Schizosaccharomyces pombe: one gene and its partners. The protein of the gene in region 4 interacts with the protein of the main gene of each other region in a biochemical or structural test. Each region holds a gene or a part of one and is shown on either strand. Other genes may lie near its edges. The genes, in order: pop1, lkh1, cdc13 and rum1.

Region 1 (4,911 bases), 670 kb from region 4:
TATCGCGAAGAAAATTAAATTTTTAAGAGTAAAGTCAGACTTAGTTTGCAGAATTTCCTCTTTGTATGAATTCATTTGTCATTTATACTTAGAAGTAAAGGGTATTTGATAAGTTGATATCTATATATGGTAATTTTGTGAACGCGTCGAACGCGTCTTAAGTGTACGTATATTACAGTCCCACCTGTGGTTTTCCAACACTTTAAACTACACTAAAATGGCTTACATAGATAAATGGAATGCGAAAAGCATGTTTTACGATGAAGACATTTGGTAGCTTATGAAGTAATGTAAAAGCCTTTTGTTAAATTAAATGTCTTTTTACATTTACAAAGCTAAAATGTTTGTTTTTTTATTTACTATAGTTTGCTAATTATAAAAATATAGTACGCTTTTGGGTAGAATGGACGCTATTTGAAGCTAAGGATTCAAGAAATTCGCTTATCCCTTTGGTAAAAAAATTTTGGCCTCAACAAACGAATTTAACACTAAATAATTTATAAATGTAGAATAGATCATTTAAAAAAATATTATTTTGCATTCTTATTAGATATTTAAAAAAGAAAATTATGAGTAAACATTTAAAAGTCAACAAACAATTAGACAAATATTATATGATAGAGGAGTTTCCAGAATAAATAGCATGAATCTATTTCAGTTTGGAAACGTAAAATAAAATTTCGAGATCTTTTATAGATTTCTAGTATCTCAACTTATAAAAGCTCAAGAAGATTTAGTAGATCCAAACTCTAGGACCTCGATCCAAAAACGGTTATTTCTTAAAACAGCAGCCACACATACATTTTCATTATAAGCAACTTGCCAGATTATATCCAAATCAGTCAATAGGTCTCTTACTAACTTTCCGGAACGAATGTCCCATAACTGTAGCGTACTATGGCTTCCACTGACAACTTTGCTCTCGTCGTGTTGAAAAAATATGTGTCCCAAAGGACATTTTAAAATATCTCGACAACTTCCGGTGTTTAGATCCCAAACTCTCAACGATGTATCAGGAGGAGCAGAAGCGGATACCAAGATATTTTGGTTAAATGTAACTTGACTTACCAAATTCGAATGACCATGAAGGGTCTGTAGAAGTTCTCCAGACTCAAGGTTCCAAATACGAATTTTAGCATCCGTACCAGCGCTGATACATTGTTGACGAGAAGGATTAATTGTGACACTGTATACTCTCCCGACGTGTCCCCGAAGAACATGTAAACAAACGCCAGTAGATGCCTTCCATACTCTAAGAGTACCATCATAACTGGCACTGACAATCAAATCTCCAAGACAAGCAACTTCACGTACCGAGTCCGTATGACCACGTAATGTTCGGATGTAAAACGGATTGGTCGTAGCTGAAGTAAAGTCATTATTCTGATCAGGATTTTCATTTACATTAACAAATGGTGGATCGTCAAGGCATGGAAGACTCCATAAACGGATCGTACAATCCCTTGAACTTGAAATTATATACGGAGGCATTGAATTAGCATCATTTGAAGCTGGTCTGTTTTCTTTTTCCACATCATCAGTATCAGTAGTACTTTGATTGCCTTGAACTATTTTGATACAACGGATTGTTGACGTGTGTCCATAAAACACCTGTTTACATTCACCGGTTCTAAGGTCCCAGACTCTTACTGTCCTGTCTGTGGAGCCAGTAACCAAAGTATCCCCAACGTATTCAAAAGTCCAAACATCACCTTCATGCTCTTCTAAACTGCGTATCAGGACACCTGTTTTCGTGTCATATATATTAATTCTAGGACTGCAGGTGCTAACAATTATTTTGTCATCATCAAACTGAAGTTTGGTAATAAGACGAACTCCATGAATTGGGAATGAACATCGCTTAATTTTCTCCGGGGCATGGAGCCATCTTTCACGAAGATTAAAATGTCTAAAATAGACCCGCTTCATTATCGCACAGGCTGACAAAGATTGTTCTAAACACATCGTACGGATTTTACTATCAATTGAATCCCAAAAGAAACCATCTTTTAAAAAGAGACTTTTCCAAAGTTCTTCGTTGGACGATACCAACTTATACCAGTGATGCGAAACTTGCGAAACTGCACACAATGAAGGTGCATCTAAATGCGTAAGCACTAAATTTGTAATCTCAGCCGGAAATCCAGTTAAAAAGTTCTTTTGAAAGATAGGAAGCAGAATTTTGTGAATATTTTGAACAGCATGTTTTCCACATCGAGAAAGAAGATGAAAAAGTAAGTATTGACGAACACTTTCGGGTAATTTTTCGAAGGAAGAAATTAATTGTGCTAATTTCAAAACAGCATTTTTTTGAGAGCTCAAATGATTAGAAGGATGAATGCTAGGATTTTCTGAAGAAAAATCATATATGACAGGTTCATGCAAAGAATTATGTGAAGATGAAGATGAATGAGGGGGAAAAGATTGACGGGTTTTGGAATCGTTGCCGAGTAAATTAGGAGAAAAATAAGAGTAATTAACAGAATTATTTGGTGCATCAAGTGAGAATGTTGTTTCACTAGCGACTTCCTTACTGTCACAGTTGTTTGGGTAGAAAACGTTCGAGTAGTTAGTAGAAGGAAAAGTTTCATTCTTTTTATTCCCATCACTTTGAGAATTGAAGAGAAACCGCTTATTAGCATGCAAATTAGAGCTGAGACTAGAGTTACGGCGTTTAAGGCACTTTTCGCGATGCTCTGACGGCAGCTCACAACTCAAATGGGGCCGGTTAAGATCACAATGTAGATATAAAAGATTTTGCAAGTTTTCCAAATTTTCTTTATCAGATAAACATCGATTGTTAGTAAATATCATCGATTGCTGACTTCCCTTGCTATCAAATTGTAGACTAACACGACTAAGCTCCTCGGGAATTCTGGTCATTATATTATTTCCTTCCAGGAGATCTTTTTTAGTGGAACATGGAGAAAATCTCTCGACATTTGGCCGGGGAGAAGAGGAAACATCAATACTCGGTGATACCATAGTTGTCTCACCGAAAAATTCATTGGAATCTAAAACAGATAGGCTATCTTTTTTCTTCTCATTCATTTCAAGTAGTTTACAGACACTTAGTAGAAAAGTATTTGTCAAGTTCTTTTATGATGTTAGAGAACCTGGTTCAAGAATCGATACTGATGAATTTACTTAAAACAACTGCCCGTTGGGAAACATGTATATGAAATTATTTTGCAAATAGTTATCGTCTTAATGCATTAGAGCAATACTTTTTCTTGGTTTTTTTGAAGTTCAGCGAGATAGATCGTAAAGACCATAAACTCTTGGCAATGAATTTTAAATTCACTCTACGCAAGCGGAGGTGTAAGTAACACCAGAATAAGTAACAATTTTACTGTTGATTAAGAAAAGTTTTTATAGTTTATGGTAAATACGACTAAATCGCGACATAACAATAGTTCAATAAGAAAAGTTATATGACTTAGTTATGGCTCCTCAATATTATTTTTTTTTACATTATTTGCGATAGTGTTTTAATTGTATACCAGATATTAACCTCCTCAGCATTTTCAAATAAATTCTCTAAAGACAAAAACAATGAACACGTGAAGTATTCATATTATAAAATTGTCTTTTCCGTTGCGTTTTTGCAGCTAAAGAATGCAGACACAATAGTAGCTCGCGAATTTCATTACACGCCAATAAAGTTGGGAAAGAGATTACCCTCCCCTGTCATATTCTAAATGACACGGACACATATAATAATTTATTAATAAAATTTGAGCATGAGCGTAAAATGTAAAATGTCAGACTAAGATGGCGTTTCTAGTACATCATTTTCTTAGGCCGTTGAAAGAAATTTTTTGTCTCGTCAATGACATGCATCGGGTAATTTCGGCAGGCATTGGGCTATTATTCGACTTCTCTCCATTCAAAATTTGACTTAATCTCAGTATCCAAAGAAGCGTCAAATACGCTACCAAGATAAATAATTAAATTGTTATCCGTAAAAGTTCTTAGCATAGCAAACCGATAAACCGAGTGTAAACACGATATTAATTAATTAATATTATATCATATTTAATGAGCTGCAGAACATCATTTGCCGAAATGCACCGAGCCTCTTATATCTAGGATGATTTGTATGTACCAGATTACTTTCCCAAGAGATTATTAAATATATTTAATAGTATTAGGAGAAAATCAATATAACGTTGAGTCGAGCCAACGTATTTGTAAGTTAGGTATACAGGGATGTCATTAGGCTTACGTACACCGCGCAATTCAATTGCAAAAGGCCCAGGGGACCAAGAACTTCCTTATGATAAGAAAGCTAAAGCGATAAACAAAAATTAAATTACTTGGCTTGGAAATAATAATAATTTGCTTTGAAATGAATGATTGAACGCCCCGCGACCCCGGGACAGTATAAATTTTCCTGGGGTAGATCAAATTCACGCATTTAATTGGTTGAATTTATCAACTGACTTTTAAGTTCATTTTTAATTAAGTTATCAGCCAATGAATACAAAGCCGATAGCAAGGCAAGCAATGATTGGAGCGCAATAGTTGACTGTTTTGGCGCTAATTATTTCGGGTTTATGGTTAGAAATTTTCTGAAAAAATCAACGTTGAAAACTTACAGGCTTTCATGGTTAATTAGTGGCAAAACGCCACGGCTCTTAATCAAAAGATGGTGAAGTGCTTGAAAAAAGAAATGTATATAAAGCTGAGCTGATTTTTAGGGAAAAGCCGTGAGCTGAAATTAAACAATCAGAACCGCAAAAGGTAAAGACCATTATATTCTTTACCATCTTTCTTTTATTTTCTAGTATCAAGTTACTAGCATATCCTATCGTTTATAAAGTCAATCGTTAGATTCCTGTCAAATCTTTTAAATCTAAAAATGCTCTTTAACAACTTTCTTTGTTTTGCGGTTTCCGCCATTCCTTT
Region 2 (6,651 bases), on a different chromosome or scaffold from region 4:
AGGGGTTTTAAAGGCTTGGACGAAGTACTCAGATGGCAGATCAAAGTTGTTTATAACAGCACCTCCACAATTTGAATTTTGGCTACTAGAATACTCAAGGATTGATTATCTACCATTATCCAACATCGTATTTATTTCCAATAGTGCTTTACGTACTGACAGGAAGCCGTCTGCTTTGGAATCCTCTAGGTTGTCTTCTTTATTTAAAGAATTTGATTTAGTATCTTTTCGAACGGTTCCTGCCATACACTGCCCGTATTCATATTGCATGGAGATTACTAATTCCAGTGGTTGGAAGATCGCATACTCTGGAGATACTCGACCTTCTGAGGATTTTGCTAACATTGCCAAAGACTCAACTTTATTAATTCACGAAGCTACTTTGGAAGACTCTATGCACGAAATTGCAATAAAAAAGCAACACAGTACTTACTCTGAAGCTTTAGAAGTGGCCAAAAAAGCTGGTACAAAAAACGTTATTTTGACTCATTTTAGCCAACGATATCCCAAATTACCAGACATTGATATTTCGACAGAAGACTTACATATAGCTTTGGCGTTTGATGGAATGACTCTTAAAATATCGGATATCTCATTGTTTCGTTATTTTGGAAAGCCTCTGGCTTATCTATTTAATGAGGAAAATTTAAAAGAGGAGTCGGATCCTTTAAAGTTCTAACTACTTGAGCTATTGTCTCATATTATATAAATTGGGTCTCAGGCAAGTGATCTCTGTTGTTTAATGAAATGGGCAAACCTTTTCTTCATTATACAATTATGTTCATAACAAAATACTTCAGACTTCAAAAAAATTGTCAAGGTAATCCGTATCTATTAAAATAGTCCTGAAAACCATTAATGATCTTTTTTTCTTTTATTTCACTGAGTAACTACTATTTAACCCAAGGACCAAAATTTACGAGTGTAATTGACGACTTAATCAAACCTTTATGGAATAATCTAAAAAGAGGACAATTTTGAGTTTTAATTTATATCGGATAACCAAGTACTCTATGCAATTAAAGTAATTGTAGAACATGCGAGTTTTCGTCTAAGAAACTGAATAATAACAAACGAATAAACATCAGCTAAAGCGTAACACAAACCAGAAATACGAGACTTCCGTAGATTTGTAAATTAGAAAGAGTGAAAATTATTGAAAAACATGAAGTAAATTATAAATCTCTAAGTTTATCCATCACAAATTTGAAGAAATTGGTTGGGTGAAAAAGGGATGCCAAAGGGCCTCTTTTGCAGTTATTCGCCGCTTAGGATCGTAAACGAATACTTTTTTCAATAAATCAAGCAGCAAAGCCACTTCTGGAGATGATACTGCAAATATTTGCTCTAGCGTTTGCAGAGATTGAAGATAATTAATGCTTTTTTTAGGCGTATTTGACAAAGGATAACGGACTTTTCCGTCAGATTTAAAAAAACGTTGCGATGTACGAGAGGAACGCGAAATCATATTCCTATCAAAGGGACCCAGGATTTTTTCCATCATGCACAGATGCTCACTATCTTCATGGGTTTGAAACAAGGCTTGTCCCGTGAATAACTCAACTAAAATACATCCAATACTCCAAACATCGCAAGGATAAGACCAACCCAACCCTAAAATAATCTCTGGAGCACGATAATGACGAGTACTCACTACACTGGAATGGTATTCATCTTCAAATGTTGCACTACCAAAGTCGATAAGCCGGATTTCACAACTATTAAGGACTTTCTGTGAATAATTCCGATAAGGTAATCGAATAGTTCTTGAGGCATTAGATACCAGAAGAACATTTTCGGGTTTAAGATCGGTATGTACTAGTCCCAAAGAGTGAAGAAACGCAACACTTTTAAAAAGTTGTTGGGATAGCATCTGAATATGCTTCAAAGGGAAAGGAATGTAGTTGTTATTCTTTAAAAAATCAAAGACACTCCAGCCAAAAAGATCAGTCACAATGCAGATGTGCTTGCGGTAATCGAAATAATCGCGTAACTGAATGCACTTATTTTCATTTGTCGGATCACTATGAGCTATAGTTTGTAAAACTCTTAATTCAATGAGACTAGCTTCTCTGTACTTTGGAATTGCTCGAGTCACCTTGATAGCACAATGTCTACCTGTACTTTGATCGTAACACTGGATAACTTTGCCAAAAGTACCGTGCCCAAGCAAACGAACAACTGTATAACGGTTGGCAAATTTGGAGTTAGGTACAACCTTGTAATGACCGTCATCATCATCAAAAGTTGATGGATCAAAAGCGGTAGTATCATGCACAACAGGAACATTTACGCGGTCGACTTTTTTATATGGGGGCCATGCAGCTCGCTTCCTTTTCTTCGGAGGTCGATAATCGGAAATAGATACAGGAGTGATAACTTGATTGGCATTAGAAGCCGGTTGATAAACGTTTGCAGAAGGAGGTTGGAAAGTTGGTTGAGTCATCGGAAGCCATACGGCCAGCGTTGGAGATAATGGTACAGCGGTATGATTGTTAATGGAACTTGGGGTGACGGAATAATTTACACTTTTATGTTGAGACGATTGCGAGGAAGGAGCGATAGCAGTAGCCGGAGCTAGCTGAGGAGGGTTAGAAGGACAATACGTTGCAGGACATAGTGGGGGAGGATAAGAGGTTGGAGACGAGTAAGGATGATTATGGATGGGATGTGGAAGCCTGTTCGGATGGACTTGGAGCTTTGGTAAATTAGGGATCACTGGAGGTTTAGAAATTGGTTGGTGAGGTAAATTAGGAGAGGGAAGCGAAACCGGGTACCAGTGTGAAGGAACTTGAGGGACAGGAGGCGGCCGTAAAACAGGTTGACATGAAACAGGTAGTGGATTATGAAGGGGAGGATGATGTGAATGGGGAAATGGCGATTGATTATTTGAACACGCATGATACGATGTAGGAGACTGAACCATATATGAAGGATGGCTGGCGACATCATGCGGTAATGGAACGACGCCATTAGCATCCAACCATGGATCATAGGATTGAGGAAGAGATACCGAGTTAGTTGATGGATAAACAGCATTCGCACCATTGATAGGGACTGCCACAGTGCCAGTGGTAGAGGGTGATGATGATGAGGGAGGTTGCGGAGGTACGAAGGATTGTAATTGATGAACAGAAAAAGGAGGCGGTAAATTAGGGGTAAGCCGTGGAGAAGCTGAGTCCTCTATAACAATGACTTCTTGTGGAACACCATTTTTATAAAAGTCCTGCCAATCAGGCGCATGATTTCTACGACGTTTTAAGGAATGCATTTTACAATAAAAAGATTCCGTCTAAGTCATGCGAGCAAATTGGTAAAGTGAAGAGGTAGAAGACGTCGAAACCTGAAAAAAGGGATAAGTATCTTTTAGAATTATGCAAAACCAGAAGCAAAAATGATGAAAAGAGATACCAACCACCGAAAATAAGTGTTTCTCAAACAATAATAAGGGGAAAAGTTTCCTTGTTCGAAGTCACCAAGCGACAAAAGCAATAAAAAACCTTTTTTTTCGACTCGTCGAAGGGTAAGAACAAAATAGAAAGGCGGAATTTAAAAAATAAAAATAAAAAATGGACGAATTAAAGCAATAGAACTGAACTGACAAGCATTCGACAATTGGTGTTGGACCAGAACAGCTAGTTCATCAAGAAGCAGAGAATGGGAGGAAGAATGAGCAATCAAGTTAACTGGTACACCTACTTCGAAAGAGTTTCAAAATTTGAATGCAATCACGAAGAAAGAAGTTAAAATTCTCGACGTTGTAAAATTGCAAGGCCGTCGATCAAACGATAAATCAGCAAAGAAGCGGAAAACAGTGAGAAAGTGAACTTGAAATATATTTATCAAACCAAATGGTTTCTTATATCAGGGAGAAGAAAGCCGTTTTCTCAGAATAAAGACAATTGACGACAACCACTAAACCCCTTTCTCAATCAAATGTAGGGTGCAACAGTAAAGAGAAACAGCAAATGCAAAAAGGTATCGGAGAGAAATAAATATCTACAATACCGGAGAATAAGTATGCCGAACACGGAGGGTCTGTAAAGGCAAATCAAACACGAAAAAACGATAAACACCAAACCTTCAATCAACAACTAGCGGAAACCTTTGTATCAATCGTATTGCTTTAAAGTAATGATGTTCCAAGGCAATATTGTACCATGAGACAATGATGAGGTTTTTGTGTTTGAGGGGGTGCGATTGCGCTACTACCAAAATTGATCAATGTCCAAATCAGGCGGATTAGTAATTTGGATAAAACAAAAGTATAAATAACCCCCAAAAGAATCGGCAATTACCAGGGCAGTTTTCAAAAGCACACAAAGTCGACGACAAGCGATGTAGCTGTAGTACGAAAGTCTACCTAACAAAATGGTAGATCGTAGATGGAGAAAAGCAAGTAGTGAGTGTAGTAAATTGAAGAATGAAGTATATACGACTCTTAATAAGCAATTTTCTTTTTCTTTCCTTCAATCCCACAGAATGTAATTCCAATGGGGGGGGGGTAAAACAACAAAGCAATGTCCTAATAATACAACTGCTAAGAAAACTAGTAATTGAGGATAGAAAGGATAAAAGAAAAAGCCTCAAGCCAATTCGAGGGATGTGGAGAAAGTAAAAAGGAATTAGCAAGAGTTTGGATAATAATAAGTTGCGTTTTCTTTGGTAAAGCCACTTAGAAAAGGTGAAATTTGCATGAGATAATCATGTTTGTGAGACCGGAACAACATCATTGTTATTCTATCCTTAAAATAAAATAGCTGGAAAAAATTGGCCGGACGAGGGAACAACCCAACAATCACCATCCAGGCGCGTTGCGTTTGGCACCTCCTTCCTATGAAAAAGTATACACATTCCACAACACCATGTGCGCAGTATGCAACGTACCTAGCCGTCACCCAACTATAGCGTAAGAGACGCTTGCTACTCTGAAGGGCTGAGATCTACGAAAACCGCCATGGCCGTAGAGGCAGAGGCGCTGAATGAATTTTCATTAATTTAGATCACTAATCATTTACCATTCAAATGCCGCTCCATTCAACTCAACCATATTCACTTAAGGAGTTTTCGTAAGAAATGGCTTATCATTGTCATCATACCATTCAAACATCAATACACACCACACATACACACACACACAAATGTACACAAGCATGCACACTCATACACATATATAAACGCATGTTTACATAAATAGTTATAAAATTTACATATAGTTTTACGCATAAATAATGCAACTGTCATTCTCACCATCTCTATCCAACTCTACCTACCATGTACTATATACTGTATTATACAATGAATGCTATATGCCCGCTTATACTGTAGCTGCCTTGTCGCCCGCCCCATTTGTCCATGGTATAGTATTCCGCACAATTCTTTACCAGAATAGAAATGAAATATAGAAAACATGCCTTTTCAGAAGCGTTTCTCACACTTTCAACAAATGTCGTCCAGCCCATCTGCCAAATTCTCTTACCAAACTAGTCTTGATTATGGCCATCCGTCCTCGGTAATCGAATATTTCGTCCAAACAGCGACGCTTGGCCATCAAAAAATTTAGTGGATGACAATAATCTATGTAACAAATAATACGATAAAATTGCCATGATGAGTAACAAAACAACAAAGGCAATAATTCATCAACTATTGAATAATCATTTAATGGTCGCGAAAAGGAAACAAATATAATTTTCTACAATCAATCATCTACAATGACTGATGTTAGAGCTTGAAAACGGGATGTGAAAAATTCAATCAACATGACTTCAAATGGGGTGAGAAATTGTAATTAAGCAAAGGAAAAAAATAGGCAACAAGGCATGGTTGTAGCTGCAATTAAGGGACTAATGTGTCGTGAAACTCAAAAATGTAAAAAAAAGAATGACAATCCCCTTGCATAATTGAATTACCCGTTGAAATTTTTGGGAAATCCGGTTACTGCAGACGGAAGTTGAAAGTCAACTTTATCTCGGTTCTTTTTTTCCTTTTTTTTTTTTTTTGCAACTTCCTTACCGGCACGCAAGGTCCGTCGCACTTCTGGACCAGGAGTAAACTGCTTACTTATTGAAAGAACAAAGAAAATTTTAACCTTTCTTTAAATACGCTTTCTTTTCTTTTTCTTTTTTCAGGCTATTTTTTTGCTCCTCCCGTCATCCCTAATAGCTAGTCGGCTTTAACGATTATTATTTTAGGAGATGCTAAAGTGCAGATTGACGGTCTTGTTCGTAATTTGCAATCAGTCTATGTCATGATCCCTGACCTCAGTACAGTGGAAGCTGTCTGGCTGGCAAGGGTAAAGGCTAGTAAGTACTATCAATTATGTATGTCAGTTGTGGATGGGGAATTATTATTGAGACTTTTTACAAAGTGTCAAGCTCGAGATTTGGCCATTACATGTCGGTAAAGCAGCTGAACAGCGATATGCCGTTCATAAAAAAGCGTCAGCACAAGTGAAATCAAGTGTCATGACATGAAAGTCTAATCGGTTATTTGCAACATTAACCGAAACTTGTAGAAAATGCGCTCTTTGGCAGTTGAAAAACGCAGACATTACAGATGCTATAAATACATAGTATTAAAAACATAATAACAAATAACAATAACATGTTAATTAATCTTGCTATACATAGTAACATCTATAAAACGCAG
Region 3 (5,473 bases), 2.4 Mb from region 4:
AAGGCTGACTATTAAAAGAAAATTATAAGCTGACCATAAAGTGATGATGGAAGAATCTATTTTATGAATACCAGAGACATAAAAGTTCGGAGTCTAGTTGTCAAATTGAAGGTAAATGAAGTTCATTTAGGCATTACTGTTGGTTTTTACAATTTTTGAGTAAGTAGTTAACTAATTTTAGCATAAATATTGGCATTTATCTTCCGGTTTTCATTTGCATATAACTCGGTTTGAAGCACACGATATGGGCAAAGTTAAAGATATAGATACAGACTTCGAACCTGGTCTCCAATGTTACCAAGTTGGTTCTGACACTTCGGTTCTTCGTTATGGACTCTCGTTTTGGGATCCAAAATGGGATTATCTATTAGCTGATAATCAACATAAACAGCAATGGCAAGCTCCATCTTATAAACCACTGATATCGGAATTTTTCCCTATGGGCATTGAACATTTTATCGAAACGGCACAATCCATTGTTATGGCTGTAAATCGATCTACTATTGATTAATAAAAAAAGGATCACGATATTATTTTTAAAGAAACACATTTAATGTTTTGGTTTAAGTTGTCTATCGAGAGTTAGATGTTATTTGTTTTCATTTTTATTATGAGCAATATACGTTCTGCAAGCTATGAACATAATAAAGTAGTATTCACCTCAAGGAACTATCATTATCATTATTATTATTAATATTACTCCGACTCATGGTGTAGGATATGGGATTCCCAATCGGCAAGTAGCTCAACATCCAGAAAATATAGTACTATTTTGTTATCGTAAGGTCCTAATTGTAAAAAAGAAATAATAGCACAATACTCGTAGTTGTTTAAAGCAGCATCATTAGCAGAAACACAATTGTTATAACGTTACTAGCCACATAGATCAAAACACATATGCGACAGATAATCAAATCTAAGACTTAAAGGTGGGATAATTTAAAGGCATCCATAATTACACTTCTCCAAATGATTTTGGTTTCATAATGACACCAGCATGTACTATGCATCTGGCAATCTTCAAGTACCCGAGCATATAATAATAGAACAAAACAAAAACAAAAGCATTAGGAATTATCGGCGACTCGTTTACAGGACATTACGGTTGCTATTAGTGATAAACTAATACACATATAAAGAGCGCTTGAACAAGTTGGAATATTCACAATTGAAAGAGGTTGAGATAGTGATATGCACAATACACTAAATTACCATTCTTCATCTTTCATGTCATGTTGTATACGTTTTTGCTTGTGAAAAGTATAATCTTCATCAGCGTCATCGCCAAGAGGGATAGAATTCTTCTTGATCCAGTCACGAACAAAAAGACTAGCTTTCATAAACTTTTTGGAGGCATACTTCTTGAAAAAAGCTTCATGTTGAACAGGCTTTTGTAAATAATTAATCATCTTCTTAACAACGGAAATTAATTGGTACTCCTCATAACCTGAGTAATGCACAAGATTACGATTCCACGGTCCACGTCCAAGCATTTCCCTGGCAAGGTACATAGCGGCAGCACACTGTTGGGAAGGGGGATAAGGTAAAAGTTTATGATCTAAAAGACCAATTTCAACAAGATACTTTGCAACAGTTCTTGTTTGAATATCGTAAAAGTCGGCTTTTGAGATACGACGTAGGAAATTCATAGGATTCGGGTAAGCAAGATTAAACTCTAGGACACGCAAAATGTAGCGCTCGGCTTGAAGAATTTCCTCTTCATCATACCCACCATCCGCCATATATACAAAGTTTTGGACTGAAGGGCACATCACCTCCTCATACTTGCTAGCGATGAACAAGGCAGCAATGCCAACCAATTGTAGTTTGTTAAGAGAGCATACCCGCAATGATAAAAATCTATCAATAATATTTACGGCCAAAAACAATGTTTCAGGAAGCAGTCGGAAACGAGAATGCACTTCAATTAACCAATCGGTAAGTATTCCACGCATCTTCCATGCAAGCTCTTTTTGACGATCCATATAAGTAGGAGAGGGCATAGTTTCAATTTCCAACTCATTCAAATATTCAAAAATATCAACGACATATTCAGAAACCATAAGAGGGTCAGCCCAATCTTCTGCATCCAAGTCATCCCAATCTTGAGATTCGGGACTCTCAACACTATCACGGTGAAGTTTGGGAATATCTTTCGAAACAACGCGTTCATCAACATCTTTCTTTAATTTTTTTGGAATAGTTGCTTGATCCTTATGGAAAGCATCAACCCCATGGGTTGAAACAGAGTGTGATTTCGTTGACAAGTGTTGAGGTAACGAGGGGACTGATGAATTAAAAACAGAAGGTTGGCGACGCTTCTTGGAAGCGGGTTCATCATCTGTTGCAGGGATTATAGACTTTTCCTCGAGAGCACGACGGGTACTGACAGAAGCAGTAGTGTGTCTGACATTTGTGTTTTTACTAGCTAATGGAACACCTTCTTTGTTGTGAAAATTGGAAACATCATCCAACGCATGACGCTTCTTAGGAACGTTGGTGGAAGACACAGTGGCTTTCTTGCCATTTACTAAAGAATTTTCTGAAGAGTGCAAAGAGCTTTTTGCACGGGCAATATGGTTTGAAGGATGATTTTCGTCATTGTTGCCCAAGGTATTTGCCAATAGGTGCTGGCGAGTTAAACGACGGGTAGTCATGAGGAAAAGAAGAAACGAATTCTGTCGGGGATTGAAAGAGAGGAAGGGAAATTAAAATATTAATTGGTTCAGGTAACAGAAATGATAAAAAAGAGGTTTTGAACGAACAACCTTTTTAAAGTGTCTAAAAACGTGAAGGGGTAGTACGGGACGGAGAAGATAAAATAGAATGAGTTATACTTGAAAGTTTATACAAAAATTTTAAGGATAAAATCCAAGCAAAAATGTATGTTTCTCGTACGTATAAAGGAGAAAATAATAGCCTTTGACCGAATCTAGAATTTGGCAAGAGCTTTTGAGACTTCTTTTTTTCAATAAAGTAAGGGGATTGCGATGAAGTCCAACAATGGATATAGGAAACGTAGAACACGAAACTGAACTTTGAAATGAAGCTATATGTAGAATCGATGTACGATTTTCCTATATTAACACCAGAACAAGAAAAGAAGGGTAAATGTTGACTTTAAATGACGTTAGTAAATCTAATGAAAAAACAAAATGGCACAATAAAGGATTATCCTATGAAAAAAAGAAACTTTGATAGGAAAATAAAATGGGTAGTTATTTAAATTTAAACCCCCATGTTTTACAGCACCCACCCCTTAATCCCTTCATAAATTTTAAAAAAATAAAAAAATAAAAAGAAATGAAGTTAGACTTAAAGAGGATTTCATGTTTTCGCTGAACTAGGTGAAGTCGAGGAAAAAGGGTGACTATTGATTGGGAAGAAATTTTCACATCTTCAGAAGGTCGTATTGTATGAAAATGTTCTTACACAACCAAAACTGTATTCCCAGCCTTTAACATTACTTACAATCTGATTAAGCTCTTGTTACAAGCAAGAAGACAAGACGAAAGAACAAGCTTTGCTTAACCGACCAGGTTCCGCTTCTTTTCTCGCCTCTAGCTCTAGACAGTGACTAATAGGGGAAAAGTCCTGTTCTTGCTTATATTTCTATGAGCAGGAATGTCGTTTAAGGGTAAAAACTCGTCAAGATGCTGGTTAAGGACAGCTCGTGGTAGTGGAGTCGACTGAAAGGAGTATCGTAGAGGGCGTAAACACTATGGGGTTGTCGGGGTAACGCAACGTTGGCAAGCTGGGAAACAAATACAAACATCAAATAATATGGTAATTTTCAATGTAAACAATAATATAAATATTAAACAAAAACAAACACGAGTTTCGTAAAAATAAGAAAACGGAGATATGGAACCACAATTTAATGTATATGAGCTACCTCACTATTGTAAAAAAGAGGTAATAATGTTATTGTCTATGAAATTATGCTGGGCACATTATATAAAGTAAAGAACGTATATAATCGAAACATGATTGCTTGGGAAATGCAATTAAAAATTAGTTCTTCAAGTTTTCTTTAATAATTACAATATTTAGTGGGTAGCTTACTCGTAAGCAGAATCTGAGCAGGGTAAACAACAAAGTCATCAAAAAAGGGGAGTTAATAATTAAAAAAATTATATGGAACGATTTAATAATGTAAAATAGAAGTCAAATTTTTGAATTTGAGATATGGTCCGTCTTTATTTACATCAGTCAAATGCTTCAAAGAAAAGTGAGAATGCCAGTACACCCACTTTAGTACTATATTATGGAATTTCAAAGGACCCAAATTCATCATATTGAATCATAGGGAAGGAGCAAACGCGCTTGTAATAAAAGAATCTAAATCAGCCTTTGTAAATTTGATATACTACGTAATGAGTAAGCAAAATGAAAAACGATAACAACTTAAATGTATATACACATCGATAAACTAGCAAATGAATATCGACAAATCCTCAATACACATACCTTGTCTTTATTTTTTGTAAAATCACTGTTGATGTATCTAAACAGAGGTTAGCTATAGTGGAACTAACAGTTTTTAATTGATCTTCATACTTATCATAGAACCTTTGATATAAAGGTAGTACAGTTTTCTTAACTTCTTGCAATAGAAAAGTGGCAACACCAGTTTCAAACCTAACAGATTCACGATGCACTTGAACAACAGATGTAACTTGTTCGTTGAAGTTTCGGAATTTTTCCTTTGTAATCTCTCGTTCTTTAGCAGACATAGTGGATTTGTTTTGAGATTTTGTATAGGTAGAATCGAGCATATTTTGAGAACACTGTCGCCAAACTTCCATATACATGGTTGAGTACTTTTGTGATCGATCTCCTAGCTTTTCTAAATCAACGTCTTGTAAAAATGATGCAATTTTTGACTCAAGACATTTTGCTTCAAAATAGACGCTGATGTTTAAAAGCATTACGCCCATTTTCCATCCAATCGTATCCACTGCCTGGGCAGCTGTTTGAACAGAAGTTAGGTAGGAATCCATACAATCCATAACATAGTTCCTCGTAATGTCTTGAACTGAGCGCGCAGGACTGAGATCAGCATTAATTTCGTGTCTCCAGCCCCAATTACCAATACTTTCAAGCAAATAAGAGGCATTTTCATGCTCAGCAAGTTCATTCAAGAAACTCATAATACCATGAGTCATTTCACTGACTCTATCAGTTGTGAGAGGGACTGTTTTGTTGTTATGGCAAGTGCCATTATACAGCCTCGATATAGAAGAAATCAATATCTTTTCCATTTCACGACCAACACCATTCACAAAACCAAGGAAAGAAGCATCTTCAAAAGGCATAAGATTATTCATGTTTTGGCGTGTAACAACGATACAATCAATTAAAGACAACAAAACAAAATTTTCTGCAGCACCTCTTTTTTCATAAACTCCCTCAAGCTGTCTGGTGGCATTGGTGACAGTGTTTATGGCAGGCTTAACGATTTTGGGATAAA
Region 4 (4,687 bases):
AAAAGCTAAGGAGTGTTCGGATATGCCACAAAATGATTCACTAACTTTTGTGTTATTTTATATGCTCAGTATGGTAGAGGGGAGAAACACGGGTACCATGTAAATATAAGAGTTACGAATTTTTAACGAACTTCACTGTGATGTAAGTGGCTTCCTTGTTGTCATTTTGCAGTGCAAATGTAAATAAAAGTGACATTATGTAAACAAATCATCTTACCGCTCAGGTAACATAAATAAATACATTATTCATCATGCTTCATGGTGTGAAGAAAAAATGTTAGTCAAGTAGAGTCGGTTAGGCCTAATTATTACTTCAATGAACGAAACGATATTACACTATAATTTTACCCAAAGACTCCTTTCATACGCTTAGAACCAGTTTTGTTATCCATTTGTAGGATTTCAGTACCAGCTAGTAAACTTCACTATATCACCAAACCACAAATTAACTCAATGTAACAGCAATACCGTAATGTGTATAACTGTCTAAGAAGCCTAGAATAGTATTGTATATGCGGTATAAAAATACCTTTTTATTACTGGGATAAAACAATTGAATATAAAACTAGTTATTGAGAATAACAGACTATAGTTTCCAAACCAGCAAAAAATTTAGAAATCGAATAGCATTATTAACTAATCGATAAATACAACATTTCAGAATATATTCACTCTCTGAACAAAGAAAAGAAAATTGTGAAAGCCATGTAATATTAGTATAAGTCTTAAAGTAAAAGCTCAGTGGATGAAATTAGGAAATAAGTTAAACGTATAATATTTCAAAGCATGCCGTAAAAGGTTGCTAAAAAAAGTTGCAATGGCTCAGGGCAGACACGGGAGGACGATAAAAAATTAAGTTGCCAAATGGAATATGAATAGGCACAAATGGAAAGATGGGGAAATGTAATTATAGATACTCAATTAAGAAAATCGTGGTGATATTGTGGTGATATTACCATGAATGACTAACGACCAGCGTTTGTCAAAATGCATTTTCATCAAGAATAGAGAATAGGAGGTTCTGATCTACTACCAAAAGTTCAAACGAACGATTATCATGAATAAGGCAGAAGAGTATTTCGTGATTGGGCATTTATATAAACGGTATCAAACACAATTACAAAATGCGAAAAAAAGTTATCGTAATAAATTGTGCCTGTTTTCATCTTTTGTATTAGATCGTGATTTTTGTGGTGATGAATACGCAGGTAAACGCATTTGCGGTGGGGGAGCAACAAAGGAACCTGACGAGGAAGATGGAACCCTTGATTTTAACGAGAACATTTTATTCCCAATAGAATTCAGGTTTGGAGGGAGAATGCCAATTTGAGAATAGTCATTAAGGTCTACAGAGGATGTTGGGTTATCTGAACTAGAAGAAGGCGCCGAGTCAGCAAACAAGAGTTTGGGCTTAAAAGTAGATAAATCAGTTCCAGGCCTGAAGGATTTCTTGATTCTTTTCCCCCGAAAAACATAGTACAAACCATCAGAAGGAGGAGGAGTAGGCTTTCTCTTCTTTCTTGACAAAAGCTGGTTATCAGATGAACTGAGAAAAGGATTGTGTTCTCTGTCTTCTTCCATACATCTTTCTAAAGAATTACTCCGATCTTGTAGCATTAAATTTGGTAGTAATTGCTTTTTGGGAGTTTTAGCAGGTGTAGGTGGAAATGTGCTAACTTGAGGTGCTGGTAAATCGCTTTCAGGGATTTCATCTATCATAATAGAAGAATTACCTTCTAACGAAGCATCGATGACTCCTTTAAAACTCCCAGGAGACTCTGGGGTAGATGGAGTACACAACCCTCGCATAGGTGGTGTTGAAGGTTCCATAGCGAACTGACAATCCAAAAACCAGGTAAATGCAAGAAGAAATCCTTTATGTATCGAGCGGATTATCAGAAGAGCGTGTATTCAAGCTTTCCGATATGATTTAAAAAATGTATTTTTCAATGGTTTTTGGGTGTAGGAAAATTCAGCACCAGAAATGTTCACAAGTTACCTGTAGCAAACGAAAAGGTAACAATTTAATACCCACCAAGCTAGCGACTGCGCTTTGATAATTATACAATTTAAACAATATTTGTAAAATTGTTTGAAATAATATAGAAACAATTGAAATGGCTTCAATATATCAAAAGGAAGGAACAAAATGGGATTGTAGCTTGTAAGAAAGGTATTGAAATTTTCGGAGTAAACAAAAAAAAGGAATCTTTTAGAAAACGGGAATGGGAAAATGTCTATTTTAAAAAGCAAAATTTCACTTCATACCAAGAAGTAAGTGCAGCTAAAATATCAAAGAATCAACCAATCAAAAAAAGATATGTGCCAACTTTAAAATTGTAAATAGAATAATTAACAAGGAAAAATATTCTTTCTAATGTTAGAATTTAAAAACTAGTTGGTTGTTTGCTTAGACGAATTCAACTTTTTCACATAGAAATTGAATGCTCGATTTCTTATAAAGATGCTACCGTTCCTTGTAAAGAGTATAATTCAAAATTAAATTTTAAAAATAAAAAACTGATAAAAAAGCGGATTCTCTTTGACCAAATTCGTACAATTTAGTAATATATTACTGCAGCACTCAAGTAAACACACACGAATCAAGACTAAACAAGATCAATTGATTGTATATTATATATAATCCAAAACAAAAAAATTCAGTTTGCAACAACCGCTGTCAAGGAACCCAAAGCTTATGTATGTAGTAGTAGAACTGTATGTTTGACGTTCTGGTTAACTGGTTATTTGCTCATTTCGTGGTAACCATTACTATTAGATGGCTGTAACGCAGTACGCTAAATTAATTACTTTGATCAAGTACAATTTTTGCATAAATGTGTAGTTAGATTTTAAATGAGAATCGATTTTCTGTTCTCTTTAGCAAAAATCTAAAAAATTTACTAACAATTTTAAGCATCATAGAAATATTCCAGTTCGAAAATAAAAATATATGACTGCAAAACCGTAAATAAAAGTAAACTACATTTGAAGTTCTAATAAAGAAGAAACTTCGCGAGTATGGTAAATGAAATAAGTCTCTTATTGTTATTTAAAAGCAAGTACTATCAAAACTAATTCAAGGGATATTTCGTTAAGATTGTTCCTTATTAGCAAATTGATGGTATAAGCAATATTTATTACCTTAGCTCAAATGCAGGAAAAATGGATTTATGAAGAATCGACTATCTTTCAAACACCATTTTCAAATCGAAATGGGAACAGCAATATGCAAAGTAAATACACGGTTGCTACATCGCTAAGTATTTCCAAAATATATCACAATTGTTAAAAATTAAATCGTGACAATGTTTATTTATGTGTTTAAGGAATACGCTACTAACATAATTTATCAAAAAATATTATAAACATATTGGTCAATAATTAAAATATTCATAAATGAATGTTCATGTTATGACTTATTTTACGCTTCATTACCTATTGTTTACAATAAATAGTATCAATGCATTTGCCAAATGAAACAATTAAAATGATAGGTTCGTTAAATTAAAAATTAAAAATATGTTTCCTCTTCAAAAACTATTATCAAAATGTAATGCACATAACTAACTCTTTATTCAATTCATTTCTTCTTCTCTGCCTGTGTAAACACTAACCTCTGCCTCATATTTCCTATCGTTCTTATTCTAAGGGACAACTGGAGTCGCTGCAATTTTCTTTTCAAACTGTTTCATTTAATTTATTATATTTTTTGTAAAAAAAAATAAAAACAACCTTCGTCTACTCTTTGTACTGAATTTCTTTAAACAATTCGCACATCTTCAATCGAATACTTTGTTAGGCTTAAATTGCACACAAGAAATTATTTTCTATACTTGAGTTAATTATATATTTTTTAGTGATTTTTTCTTGTCTTCAGTTAATAGGATAGTCTATCTTTTTCTTTGAACATGACATCTGAATTGCAACAAGAACTACAGATTTTAAGGAGCTTTAATTACACTATAGAAAAGCTTACGGATGGTCTTTCTGCTTCTAAAGAAAAAATAAAGTCATTCGAAACCTCCATTAACAACTCGAATCGTCTAATACAATTATGGTCATCGGTTCTAAGCCAAACGGAGCATACTCAGAATCTAATACTAAATAGCGACTGGAAAGGTTTGTCTTTTGATAATGAAGAATTAGAAAGATTGCAACATCAAAAAATGCTTCAAATACAAGCCGAAGAGCAGAGAAAGATCGAATTACAACAAGAACAAGAACGACTTGAACAAGAACGAAGGCAAAAAGAGGAAGCTATAGCTCTTCAAAAACAACAGCAGCAAAGGTTATTAAGGTCTAAAGATCCAAAGGTCCGACCTGCAAGAAGAGCCGCATCTTCATATGTACCTTCTAGGCCTTCCCATGTTCCCAAGGTCTTCATCCATGAATGTGCGTTCTCGGGTTAGCATGGCTACGACTTCTAACCCAAACTCACTTAGGACTCCTTCTTCATCTTTTGCAAGTCATCGCCAATCCGCAATTCCAAAATCGGCCACCTCCTCTGCTCCTACTATACCAACATCCAACTTGCCATCCGTAGCAAGTTCGATTCCTAATAATGGTCTCAATTCTTCAAATAGAAAAAGTATAATTTCTAAAACTTCCTCTAGACTTCGTCCACCTTCACGAGTCAGTAATGTGCCCTCCGTTCCTCAGCACCCCTCAACTCGTAGCAGGACAA

The links.
Region 1: the proteins of rum1 (region 4) and pop1 form a complex in vitro, tested with the Schizosaccharomyces pombe proteins (2 studies listed by BioGRID).
Region 2: the proteins of rum1 (region 4) and lkh1 form a complex in vitro, tested with the Schizosaccharomyces pombe proteins (one study listed by BioGRID).
Region 3: the proteins of rum1 (region 4) and cdc13 form a complex in vitro, tested with the Schizosaccharomyces pombe proteins (2 studies listed by BioGRID).

The regions. Positions count from the first base shown.
Region 1 is NC_003423.3:3,467,483-3,472,393, reverse strand, and holds pop1 (cullin 1 adaptor protein Pop1), read right to left. Parts: upstream 3,267-4,911; 5' UTR 3,052-3,266; coding exon 724-3,051; 3' UTR 509-723; downstream 1-508. Other genes in the region: synaptonemal complex-associated protein hop1, read right to left, coding at 1-75; beta-glucosidase Psu2, read left to right, coding at 4,865-4,911.
Region 2 is NC_003424.3:655,562-662,212, forward strand, and holds lkh1 (dual-specificity), read right to left. Parts: upstream 4,617-6,651; 5' UTR 3,272-4,616; coding exon 1,199-3,271; 3' UTR 680-1,198; downstream 1-679. Other genes in the region: 3' tRNA-processing endonuclease tRNAse Z L2 Trz1, read left to right, coding at 1-679. UniProt on the Schizosaccharomyces pombe protein: Protein kinase that may act as a negative regulator of filamentous growth and flocculation. Appears to have a role in normal cell wall and septum formation and in cell separation.
Region 3 is NC_003423.3:418,307-423,779, reverse strand, and holds cdc13 (G2/M B-type cyclin Cdc13), read right to left. Parts: upstream 3,670-5,473; 5' UTR 3,472-3,669; exon of another isoform or gene 3,345-3,471; intron 3,119-3,344; 5' UTR 2,658-3,118; coding exon 1,209-2,657; 3' UTR 512-1,208; downstream 1-511. Other genes in the region: protein dsh1, read left to right, coding at 42-111, 182-511; exocyst complex subunit Exo70, read right to left, coding at 4,304-4,369, 4,471-4,507, 4,561-5,473.
Region 4 is NC_003423.3:2,797,732-2,802,418, reverse strand, and holds rum1 (CDK inhibitor Rum1), read right to left. Parts: upstream 2,743-4,687; 5' UTR 1,831-2,742; coding exon 1,138-1,830; 3' UTR 502-1,137; downstream 1-501. UniProt on the Schizosaccharomyces pombe protein: Regulator of cell cycle G1 phase progression. Ensures the correct sequence of S phase and mitosis in the cell by acting as an inhibitor of the cdc2 mitotic kinase. Probably interacts with cdc2 to inhibit its action until the cell mass for Start is reached.